Linked DNA regions of Cricetulus griseus. The main gene of each other region encodes a partner of the protein of the gene in region 2 in a complex. Links are inferred from orthologs where the notes say so. Each region holds a gene or a part of one and is shown on either strand. Other genes may lie near its edges.

Evidence for each region.
Region 1: Pfdn2 (region 2) and Uxt share a complex: the UniProt entries of both Homo sapiens proteins name them as parts of the PAQosome complex. The link is inferred for Cricetulus griseus from reciprocal best matches to the Homo sapiens genes PFDN2 and UXT.
Region 3: Pfdn2 (region 2) and Asdurf share a complex: the UniProt entries of both Homo sapiens proteins name them as parts of the PAQosome complex. The link is inferred for Cricetulus griseus from reciprocal best matches to the Homo sapiens genes PFDN2 and ASDURF.

The regions. Positions count from the first base shown.
Region 1 is NC_048604.1:125,813,281-125,817,029, forward strand, and holds the start of Uxt (protein UXT), read right to left. Parts: upstream 2,811-3,749; 5' UTR 2,717-2,810; exon of another isoform or gene 2,540-2,716; 5' UTR 2,530-2,539; coding exon 2,432-2,529; intron 660-2,431; coding exon 578-659; intron 440-577; coding exon 372-439; intron 104-371; coding exon 1-103. UniProt on the Homo sapiens protein: Involved in gene transcription regulation. Acts in concert with the corepressor URI1 to regulate androgen receptor AR-mediated transcription. Together with URI1, associates with chromatin to the NKX3-1 promoter region.
Region 2 is NC_048598.1:21,547,871-21,551,619, reverse strand, and holds the start of Pfdn2 (prefoldin subunit 2), read left to right. Parts: upstream 1-967; 5' UTR 968-1,022; coding exon 1,023-1,097; intron 1,098-3,749. Other genes in the region: Nit1 (deaminated glutathione amidase), read right to left, coding at 218-313, 526-527. UniProt on the Homo sapiens protein: Binds specifically to cytosolic chaperonin (c-CPN) and transfers target proteins to it. Binds to nascent polypeptide chain and promotes folding in an environment in which there are many competing pathways for nonnative proteins.
Region 3 is NC_048595.1:402,525,080-402,528,828, reverse strand, and holds the start of Asdurf (ASNSD1 upstream open reading frame protein), read right to left. Parts: upstream 2,318-3,749; 5' UTR 2,210-2,317; coding exon 2,120-2,209; intron 498-2,119; coding exon 444-497; intron 1-443.

The DNA.
Region 1 (3,749 bases), on a different chromosome or scaffold from region 2:
GAGGAGAGAACTCTTTCGGTCAATGAACTTGAGAGCTTCAGCCAGTGTCAACTCCAGGAAAAAACCATATCCCAAGGCCACATAGATGCGGGAAGTATCTGGGCTGAGGAAAGAAGTCAGAGGAAGTGGAGGAAGTCTTTATTACCATTTAGCACATTGTATAGTTGAAGGTGTTTCCTATTCCCTCCAGTTCCCTAAAGTTAAGGCTCTGTAAGGGCCGGTATTTCATGTTCATTCACTTCACACCCACAGCATGTAGCTTACATCCTAGTGCAATATAAAAGTGACCAGAGTCTGGTATATAGAACATATTAAGAAATACTTGTTGCATGAAAGAAGGAAGAAACTCGGAGGGGAGGGAATACACTCACACCATTGTGTCAACGAAGAAGTTACAGCCCAAATCCACCTGCATATATAACTCCGAGTGCTTAGTTTCCTGTAGGGCCAGGAGAAAAGAAGTAGGTGTCAGTGGCCAATTTTTAAGGCAGGAAAAAGGTTTTGTTTTGGGGTTTCTCTTCCCATCTTCCTTCTTTGTACACATATACAAACTGATACCCAATTTAAAAGCCTTTACCTGGAGTCGCTCAATTACATTTCTCAGTTGAAGGTATACAGACAGCTGCTCATATACCTTGTCTCGATGATCCAGCACCTTTCTGATACGTGGAAATAGAAGAGTGATCATTAGGCAGCCCTATTCCTCTTGAGATATCTCACATCATGGCCTAAAAGGCATTTTAAGCCAATTATGGTAGTTCACGAGTGTAATCCCAGTAATTGAAAGACTGAGGCAGGAAGATTATGAGTTCAAGACCAGCCTGGGTTACATAGTGAGATCCTGTGTTACACACACACACACACACACACACACACACACACACACACACACACACACACACACACACACGGAGACATGAGAGCGAGCGAGCGCATAGTATAGACAGAGAAAGACACACCAAGTATTTCAATAAATACAAGTCAGACTGTATTTCATCCTGAGCTCTAACTCTTACTAGCAATGTGACTTTGGCATTAGGAAACCTATTTGGGACTTAGTTTCACAACATATAAAATAGAGATGACAGTATTACCTCATAGGAACCATTAGACTCAAGTGTTTACTATAAAATGCCAGCCAAATGGTAAACACTGTATCCTTTCTATCCATCACTATTACAAATACTGCATTGTACTCAGTGCCTTATGCCAATTAAAATGCTCCATCTTCACCCTACACATACCTTCCATGCTCACACTGCTCTAGTTCCAAACTTTCTGTTCACATTAATAATGACAGCAATACTAATCATCTAATTATTGAGTTTTTAGTATGTTTCATCCACCGGAGCTAAATTCCTTTTCAAAACTATCCAGGTTATTTGTTTTTTATTTTCTGAGACAAGAACTGAGTTTCCCAGGCTACTTGTGAGTACACAAGACAGTTCTTTCCTCTCAGCCTTAATACAACTGTAGTATAGTTGGGTTTATGTAAAGTTTTAAAAAGTATTCTTACTTAATGTATTTATTTTGTGTACATGTATGGGTGCCGTGGTACACCCATGTGAGTCATAGGACAGCTTTTGGGAGTTTTTTTGTTTTCACTATGTGGATCCCAGAGAGCTAGCTCAGGACATGGAAGCAAGGCAATCCATCTTGCTGGCTCCATTGTCTTCTTTTTTTGAGACACAGTCTCAGAGCCTAGGCTGTACTCATCTTTGAAATATAGCTGAGGATGATCTTGAGCTCTGGATCGTCCTGATTCACCCATCCCAAGTACAGGGATTACAAGCCTGTGTCACAACACTGGGCTTTATTTTATCAAAACCATGTTCTACTGTTAAGGCTGGCTTGAACATCCTGGCTAAAGAAATGAATTTTTCCACCTCTCCACTAGATAGGACTACTGACATGCACCACAGAGCCTGAGCCTGGCTTCATTCTAATTTTTTCCCCCTTTTAGAGACAGTCAAGTTTATATTCCAGGCTGGTCTCCAACTTCGAAGATCCTCTTGCTTCTGCCTCCTTCGTGCTGGAATTACAGTCCTGTGTTATCAGTCTAGGCTTTGGGTTACATTCTTTACCTGGGTAGACACATTTAAAACTCAAAACCACCACATTAAGAAGGCTCCATAAACTTTCCCATTCCACAGATGAGCAAAGTTTATAAAGCACAGAGAGGAGAGGTGATGTACAACTTTTTCATAAGTAATGGCTAAATGGCCCAGTCAGAAATGTCGTGGGTTTTTATGACTATTTTAATCCGACGAACGACGCCAGAGGCTCCACTACAAGGGCCAAGTTCCAACCAAATCGCAGCCCGGACGTCAACCCCTCTTCCCGGCCAATCCGAAAGTTTTCCCGGGATTCTGTCCCACCCACCACGTGGAATTTCTCAAATGTCACGCCTAGAATCTGCGTTGTCACTCACTGCAAGTCTCGCTGCAGTACGTCACTGATAAAGGCCTCGTACCGCAGCACTTTCTCTCCTACAGTATCCAAGGCCCGCCGTTTCGGGGGTGTCGCCATGATAGGCTTCCTGGGGAGTGAGGAGGGAGAAAAACCACGTTGAGTGCTCCTGTTTAACTTCACAAAGTTCTCTCCAACCTCTTAACGTTGGGTATGACTTCTTTCGGCTCATGCTACGGGGTTCCTCCTTCTGCCCAACCCGACTCTAACACGCAGTCACTCACCGGTACCCAAGCGCCGTGCTTACCTTAGGGCCACCTAAGGTTAGAATGAACCGCGGTTTCCGGGTGGCGCGGGTGGATGACGTGTTTCCAGCATGGAGGGGCGGTCCAGAATGAGAGGAGACCGCCTGAAAGTGGAGCGCTGAGGCGGGATCTTAAGGAAACCCTGGAGAATACTAGGAAGTCAGAGGGCGGGCTGTCTGCTAGCCGGCTAGTGGTTGACAGCCGCGGGTAGCTGTTTCGGGTGAAGTCTAATGAGCTTTGCCGGGTTCTGAGGGAGGTTGGACGCACAGGAAGGTAGGGAGAGGGAGTAAATCGTTTACAGCTTGTTTGAATCGCGCGCGCATGTTTGAGCGAGCGCGGCAGCGGTACTGGAGTTAAATGCAGTTGTGAGCTCCCATGATGTGGGTGGTAGTAACGGAGTTCACATCCCCTGCAAGAACCTTTTGTGCTCTTAAATGCCGAACCATTTCTGTAGCCTTCTCGCCGGTCTTAATTGTTTTTTTTTTCTTATTTTATCTTTTTTGTCTGCATGCGTGTGCACTATGTACGTGCAGTTCCCGTGGAGGCTAAAAGAGGGCGTCGGATCCCCTGGAGCTGGAGCTACTGAATATTTGTGAGCATTGGGAATCGAACCTGGGGCGTCTACAAGAATAGCCAGTGCTGTTAACCATAGATCCATCTATGTAGTCCCCACCTTTTTTTTTTTCTTTTAAAATCATTTCTATTCTTTGAGAATTTCATAACATGTATGCAATGTATTTTTGCCATATCCACTCCCTACTCCCTCCTTCCAACTCCACCCAGACCCCTCCTACCTCATTTCCCTTCCACCTTCAAGTCCTCTTTAGCAAAACAAACAAACAAACAAACCTCACTGAGTTCACATAAGCATTTGATAATTTAAAAAGCACAAGATTGCCTATAGACTAGTAAGGATTATGGTACTAATCTATAAAGAGGGCAGTATATCCTGTGGCAATTGGTAAATTTGAATATTGCTTATTTTATAAACACATACGCCGGGCGTTGGTGGTGCACGCCTTAAATCCCAGCACT
Region 2 (3,749 bases):
TAAACTGCTGCCTGCTTCCCAAGTGCTGAGATTACAGGTGTGTCCCACCATCCCTAGTGACTTCTTTCCATTCTTTCAGAGCATAATAACCCCAGAGCTACTGGTGTTCACTTATTAAATGTTTGGTGGGTGGCAGACAACTTTGTCTCCCCACACTGCAGTTATAAACACGGATTGAGCGGCAATGTGCCAGGCAGAGAACAAGAAAATATGTTACCTGGGCTGAGTACAAAGTACCGAGATTCGAGGCAATCTGTTTCCGGTACACAAAAGGGACAGGAGTTGGCGAGGAGGCCTGGTGATGAAGCCCAGCCTGAAGAGGGTGAAAAATCAGGACACCTAACCTTCCTTCAAGTAGTATGTTTCTAGAATTCTCTGTCATTTCCAGGCCTGGCCAGTAATCCCCTCCCCCAAGGCTTCAAAAACATCCCCCCACACGATTAGCTGTGGAAAGAGGTCGTAAAAGGGAAACATGGGAGAGGAGACTGATCCGAGCCTCAATACCTCAACTTCCAGTGATCTCACATTAAAACTGAAGCCCCTTTCCTCTGCCAAACGTTTCCGCGGTTCAAGTCATCTCATGGAACCTTCCTCGCTTCCCCAATTCTCTCTTCTCGGCTGTGCCACCTGCACAGCTTTATAGGCTCAACGCGTATCTCTCCCCTTACAGCAGTATCTCGAAAGGCAAGTTCACTCTCCCTAGATCGCCACCATCTCGAGGTGGGCAGGGGGCTCCGGACCAGATCCCAACCCTGGACCCCGCCCTCTGATTAGCGCGCCCTTCCCCGCCTCTCCCTGGGGCAAGAATCTCTGTTGCACAAGTTAAAGCACCGTAGGTGGAATTCACCGCAGCGGGCAGGGTTGGGGAGTAGGTCCTACATGAAGCCACCGCCAAAACCATTCGCAGGGTCGACCAGAGGAGCTTCCTGGAGCCAGAAGCGCAGGGGCAAGTGGGTGGTAACTACCAGACCGGATGTGACGCAGTGGGAGTGCGCAGGCCGGAAAGCTCGCAGGTGGCGAAGATGGCGGACAGCAGCGGTCGTGTGAGCAAGAGCAGCGGGAGCAGCACCGGGAAGGGGGCGGTGTCGGCCGAACAGGTGAGCATCCGCGAGCGCCGAGGGCAGCTCGGCCGGTGTCGAGTTCGTGCAGGAAACGGGGTCTGTGGCTTGTACCGGCCCTCAGCCCTTTCCACGTTCTCCGTGTCGCACTCGCGGAGGGAGGCGATCACGACCCCTGCTAGGGCATGCGGAGGTGGGTGTGCAGAGGAGAGCCACGTCCGCAGGCTGCAGCGGGAGCCCAGTGGGAAAGCCCTGAGCTGCGGGAGCTGGGAGGGTGTCCAGGGCCCCAAGGTGATGGGGTCGTCGTTTCCCCCGTCTCCGAGCTACTGGGAGGCGGGCCTGCTTCGGCGTTGCATCTAGTAACGAACCCCAGAGGTTATTAGTCGGGGAATTGTTTAGTCTGTGACTCTAAAACCGCGCTCACCATCGCCCACGCGCTGCAAAACCACGTGACTCAGACTCGACCGCTTCAGTCTTCTGTAACTATTTTTTTTCTGGTTTTTCGGGACAGGGTTTCTCTGTAGCTTTGGAGCCTATCCTGGCACTCGCTCTGGAGACCAGTCTGGCCTCGAACTCACAGAGATCCGCCTGCCTCTGCCTCCCGAGTGCTGGGATTAAAGGTGTGAGCCACCAACGCCCGGCCTTCTGTAACTATTTTAACTAAGGAGTCTTTAGTAGATTGGCTTTGTGGTTTAGTTTGGTTTGTTTGATGGTTGGTTGGCCTTGGGGTCGGGGGTGGAAGTTGCGACGGGGTCGCTCTATGCAGTCTTGACTTTTCTGAAATACACAGTGTAGACCAGGCTGGCCTGGAACTCAAGAGATCCGCTTGTCCCTGCTCCTGCCTCTCGAATTCTGAGATTAATAGCCTGTGTCACTAAGCCGGGCCAGGATTGTTTGGTCTTTTGAGACATGATCTCACTAAGTAGCCCAGGTTGGCCTCGAACTCGCTCACTGTGTTCTCGGAGTGGAGATTGACTTTTTAGAAGAGACCGGAAACCCTTTTCTAATCTAAGTTTGCCCCCACCCCAATACATCGGGATATGTCTGACTAATCAGAAAGCCCTTTGTGGTATGAGAACCGTGCCTTGTTAATCGTGGGACTAGTATTTAATCGATAGTAGAAGGAAAAAAAAACCACACAATTGAAATGAAAAGAATTGAGGCTAGGGATATAGCTTAGTGGGCCAAATGGGAGAGCCCTGAAGTGTAGGACATGGGAGGGTGTTAATTAATTGTTGAACACTCAGTACAGTCAGGTAAAGGTAGCCGAATAAAGAGTTTAAAACCTGCCCTATCAAAGAGCATATCTATTGGGACAAAAGGGGGATTTTCATAATTCTACTTCGAGGCAGAAAATAAGTGTTCTAAGAGAAGTAAAATGCATTGAAATTTGGAGGTAGCCTCCAATATAGTGGCTAATACTTTTATTGAGGGTCTGTCTTGTGTTAGGCTCTGCTGAACACAGAGAAACTGGTAAATGAAACAGACCTTATCTTCAACTTGGTCAAAGATCCCTAGAAATACAAGACAGCCGAGTGTGATGGCTCATACCTGTAATCCGGCTGGATTACCATGTCCATTCCAGGCTAAGCCTGGGCTACAGAGTGAAACAGTTGTAAAAACAAACATGACAGAAAGACAAATAAAACAATGAGAGTTTTAAAAAAAATTATTTTATGGGCTTGGTGATGGTGGTGCACCATTTTGTCTTAGCACTTGGGAGGCAGAGGCAGGAGGATCTCTTGAGTTCAAGGCCAGCTTGGTCTGCAGAGCTAGTTTAGTTTCAGGACAGCCAAGACTATACAGAGAAATCCTGTTTTGAAGAAAACAAACAAACAAACAAATAAATGCTGGTAAAGGCCCCTTGAGATGGCTTTTGCAGAGGCCCAAGTTTGATTCCCAGCACCCATCCATGTTGCTTGTCTCACAATTCCCCATCACCTTGGCTCAAGGGAATCCAACGCCCTGTTCTGGCCTCCAAGGCAACTCCACTTGAGTGCACATGCTATCACACAGACACACAAACATGCACATAATCTAAACAGTTTTTTTGTTTGTTTTTGTTATTTTGTTTCAGGACATAGTTTCTTTGTGTAGCCCTGGCTGTCCTGGAACTAGCTCTGTAGACCAGTCCCTGTATTTGAGAGAGATGTAGAGGCAAGAGAATTAGGAGTTCAAGTTCATCTACTCAAAGTAAATTTGAGTGTGGGTTACATGAGATTCTGTCTCAAAAAGATAAGAAAAATCCCTGTCACTTGACAGTCAAAGTTCAATGTGTGTTTTGGAGAGGACAAACCCTACTAAAACATAGCTTTATACCCCTTAGTCCCAAAACTTGTGCCCTTACAATGCAAAATACGATTATTCTGCCCCAATAGTCCCCAGAGTCTTAATTTGTTCCAGTACTAACTCAAGATTCCAGGGTCGTTTGTGCAGGGAAAAGTAGCTCATCTCCTTCCAGCATGTAATGCAGAGGCAGGCAAAGAGAGAAGTAGGCCAGAAAGGTAGGTGGGGGTGGGTGGGTGGGTGGGTGGGTGTGTGTGTGTGTGTGTGTGTGTGTGTGTAAAACAAGCCTTAAGTCTGATTCCAAGAGAGCAGGCATTGTCTTACAATTCTATAACAATTTTTCTCCATGTGCCATTTGGAAACCCTGGGGCAGGGATTGGGCCTCTAAAATGCTGGGCAGCTCCA
Region 3 (3,749 bases), on a different chromosome or scaffold from region 2:
GTTTTGTATTAATTTGCCTTAGTTCTAATATTTCATAAATGACAATATCAGAAATGTTGAAAATGTCAGTCATTTTAAAATGCTTGAAAGAGAACAAAATCATTTCTTCATTTAAGATATATTTTTTTAACAGTAAAACTACACATGAGACAGCAGTTTATTTATGAACATGTCATAAAAAAGGAATTAAATAGGTTAAGTTCTTGGAGCATTAAAGTTTGCTGTGGAAAAGGAAGTAATTGTTTCTTTTTTTGTTAAAAATGTAATAGGGAAAGAATCCTGTCAACTTTGAGATTTACTGATACATGCAGAAAAACATGAAAAACAAACTAGGATACTTTAGTTTTAAATTAGTATGTTAGAATTTTGTAATTTTAGCATAAATGATCTAATTCCTGATTTTAATATACTGTATACTATTCCGGATTCCAACAGTAACTTACCCGATTCTTCTTCAGGTTAGAAAGTTCATCCACAAGAATTTTTTGTTCTTTAATCTATTAAAATAAAGAAAAACCTAAAGTAGACGTTTTCAAAGTATGTTTGGTGAGGAAATTCTGAATAATGGGACTGGGGGCTGTCACATACCACCTGTCTAAATGGACACTCTACAGGGCAACAACACCCAGCTGGACTCCGTGGAAAACAGCTGGAGAAGGAAAAGCTGACTTAGACTTGCCAGCTGCCAGTTACCACATGGCTTATACCTTAACCAAAGTGAGCCACTGTTCACCAAAATCAATACCCACCCTTTAATTAGTTTTATAAAGTTTTGTTGTACACTTTTTAAAAAAAGAAAATGAATGTGTTTCTCCCCTTCCCCAACAACAATTACTTTTCATGTATGTACTAGATGATAGCCAGACATTCAGATAAATAGTATTGGATGCCCTACCTGGGGAGATACAGCATCATTTTTCATCTTTGCATCATTCTGTTTGCATGGCAAAGACTGCATACTGCTGTTATCATTAAGCTAGGCTTGTTTGTGACCATCAAATGAATGCCTAACTAGGCAATAACTAATTTAAGTAACCACACACCATCACACACAGTAATAAGAAGCAAGGTCTTTTTTAAAACTCACACCCGCCCTAGTGAGTATGCATCCTTATGTCTCCACGATGGCAGAGGTGAGAGTTATAGTGATGAACTACAAAGCCACACGAGTTCATCTTCCTTGAGACTCAAGTCTGCTTGTATGGTGTTTTATGTTCATTTTAGGAAAGACAGGTAGACATCTCACTTTAGCTGACACCAAAGAAAACTGTGATACAGTGGGAATAAGGTCACTAACCCAAGATGTCACTTGGGACAGAAAAAAAAAAATGTAGAATTTAAAACGTTTAATACTCTCCACTATACATGTTTAAAGACTGTCTGTAATTGGAAGTTAAGATTAATGGTATAGTTCAGCAAGGTGGTGCAACCCTGAAATCATGGCTGTCAGGCAAGAGAATAAGGTCATGCTCCCCTCTCAAACAACAGTGTTTGCGCCTGGCCTGAGAGACACGAAAGCTCAGGAAGGAAGAAAGGAAGGAAGAAAGGGAGGGAGGGAGAGAGGGAGGAAGGAAGGAAGGAAGGAAGGAAGGAAGGAAGGAAGGAAGGAAGGAAGAAAGGAAGGAAGGAAGGAAGAGAAAAGGGGAGGGAGGCAGACAAAGATTAACTTGCAAGAGTCCTACTTAGAGACCATCAGATAAATGTATTTTAGGATCACAGTGGAGGACACAGGCAGCTGGGGACACCCTGAGTCAGAACAGCCAGTGACAGCGTCTGGAAGGACACTGGCAGATTTCTAAACTTTCGGGATGGATGTCAAGGATGGCCCCCAGGCGGGTGCGTAGCTAACAGGGTGAAGCAGATCCACAGAGCAACAGATCCGCGTGAAGGGAAGGGGGACGGTAAGGGGACAGCCCCACCAAACCTCCGCCAGTGTCTCTCCCCCCCCCCCTTTTTGGGGGACAAGCTTCTGTGCCTCCCTCTCTGCAAGTCTGCAGGAAGGAGGGGCAGCCTGAGGCGGGTGCCAAGAACCGACTACGGAAGCGAGGAGCACGCCGCCGGGCTGCCGGGCGCCGCCGGGAACCCCAGCCGGAAGGCGCTCCCCGGCCACCCACCGCACCTTGCTGTTAAGGGCCTCCGTGCGTGCATCCGACTTGTAGGGGGGCACCGGCGCGGCGCGATAGTCTGCTCGTACCCCACTTCGGGGCATCTCCACGCCGGGTCGCACGCCGGTGAGCCCACGGGGATGCACGCCGGTGAGCCGCCGGGACGGAACCGAGGACAGGAAGCCCTGATCCGGCGTGCGAGCTCTCAGTGGACCCGCCCCTTCCGGCATCCCGACCAATGGAGTACGCACACTCACCCCTGCGCAGTAGAGGGCGGTTGGGGGAGTATGGGTGGGAGACTAGACATAGTTATGGGCATGCGCAAACTGGTTTGAACTAAAGGCACAATTGCCTGGTTGCGGAGTTTATGAAGGCTCTGTGTCGTCCCCTAGCGGATCCGATGTATAATAATAATAATAATAATAATAATAATAATAATAATAATAATAATTATTATTATTATTATTATTATTAAAAGGTTCAGGTGAGCTGAGTGGAGACATGAGTATCTGGATCAGTCCAGGTGAAAGCAAAGATATTTTGAGACCAGGTGTGGAGGGGTATAGAGAAAAAGGCATCCTTAAGGTCTAAAACTGAGAAGTGAGATGTCGGGGGGATAGTAGAGAGGAGTGTGTAAGGGTTAGGAACCACAGGATGGAGGGGCACTACCATAGAGTTACGGAGGTCCTGAACCAGACAAAAAGTCCCATTAGGTTTTTTTACTGCCAGTATAGGGGTGTTAAAGGGGGAGGAGGTAGGACGAAGTAGCTTTTTCCTTAGGAGGTCAGAGATAATAGGTTTAAGTCCCTTAAGGCTCTGGAGTGGGAGTGGGTACTGAACTTGAGCAACGTACCTAGAGGGGTCCTGTAACTGAATGACAAGGGGGGATGGTGTCTAGCCACAGAAGGGTTCTGGTAGACCTTGGGGTCTACCTGAGAGGCTGGTAAAGGAAATGACGTACTGGAACCTGTAGGGTGAGTAGCTAGGAGGAGGAGGAGGGGAGCCGCTGGCGAGTCTGGAGTTGGGCGAATGTGGGGAGCAAAAGAAATAGAAGCTCCTACCTTAGCTAGAAGGTCCCTCCCTAGTAAAGGCACAGGACAAGTCGGTATAACCAAAAATGAATGAGTAAGGGGAATCCCCCTAAAAATACAGCTAAGCGGTGGAGTCTGCTGAGGTAAGTAAGGCTGTCCTCCTACCCTGACAATAGGAAGACGAGACAGAGAGGTGGGTCCCCAAAACTCCTTTAGGACTGAGTATGTGGCACCAGTGTCCAAAAGGAAAGAGATAAACCGCCCTGATACTTTAATGTCCACCCGGGGCTCCCTTTCAGAGATGATGGTGGTCGGGTCAAGAGAGCCTGGGCCCTGTCATTCATAGTCCTCATCCATAGCCAGGGCTAAGAGATCAACTGGAAGGCCGTCTGTGTTTGATGTCCTCTTGTCACCTGGGACACGGGGACAGACCACTGACCAATGGCCTACTTCCTGGCATCTAGGACATGGCTTGCTTGGTGCATGGGGGTTCGGGCAACCCCGGGCCCAGTGTCCTTTCTGACCACACTTGAAGCATGGACGCTGCGGTACTCTGGCCCCAGAGGGCAAGGGATCCCGGGCAGATGCTGAGTCCAGTCAGACGGCTTCAGCT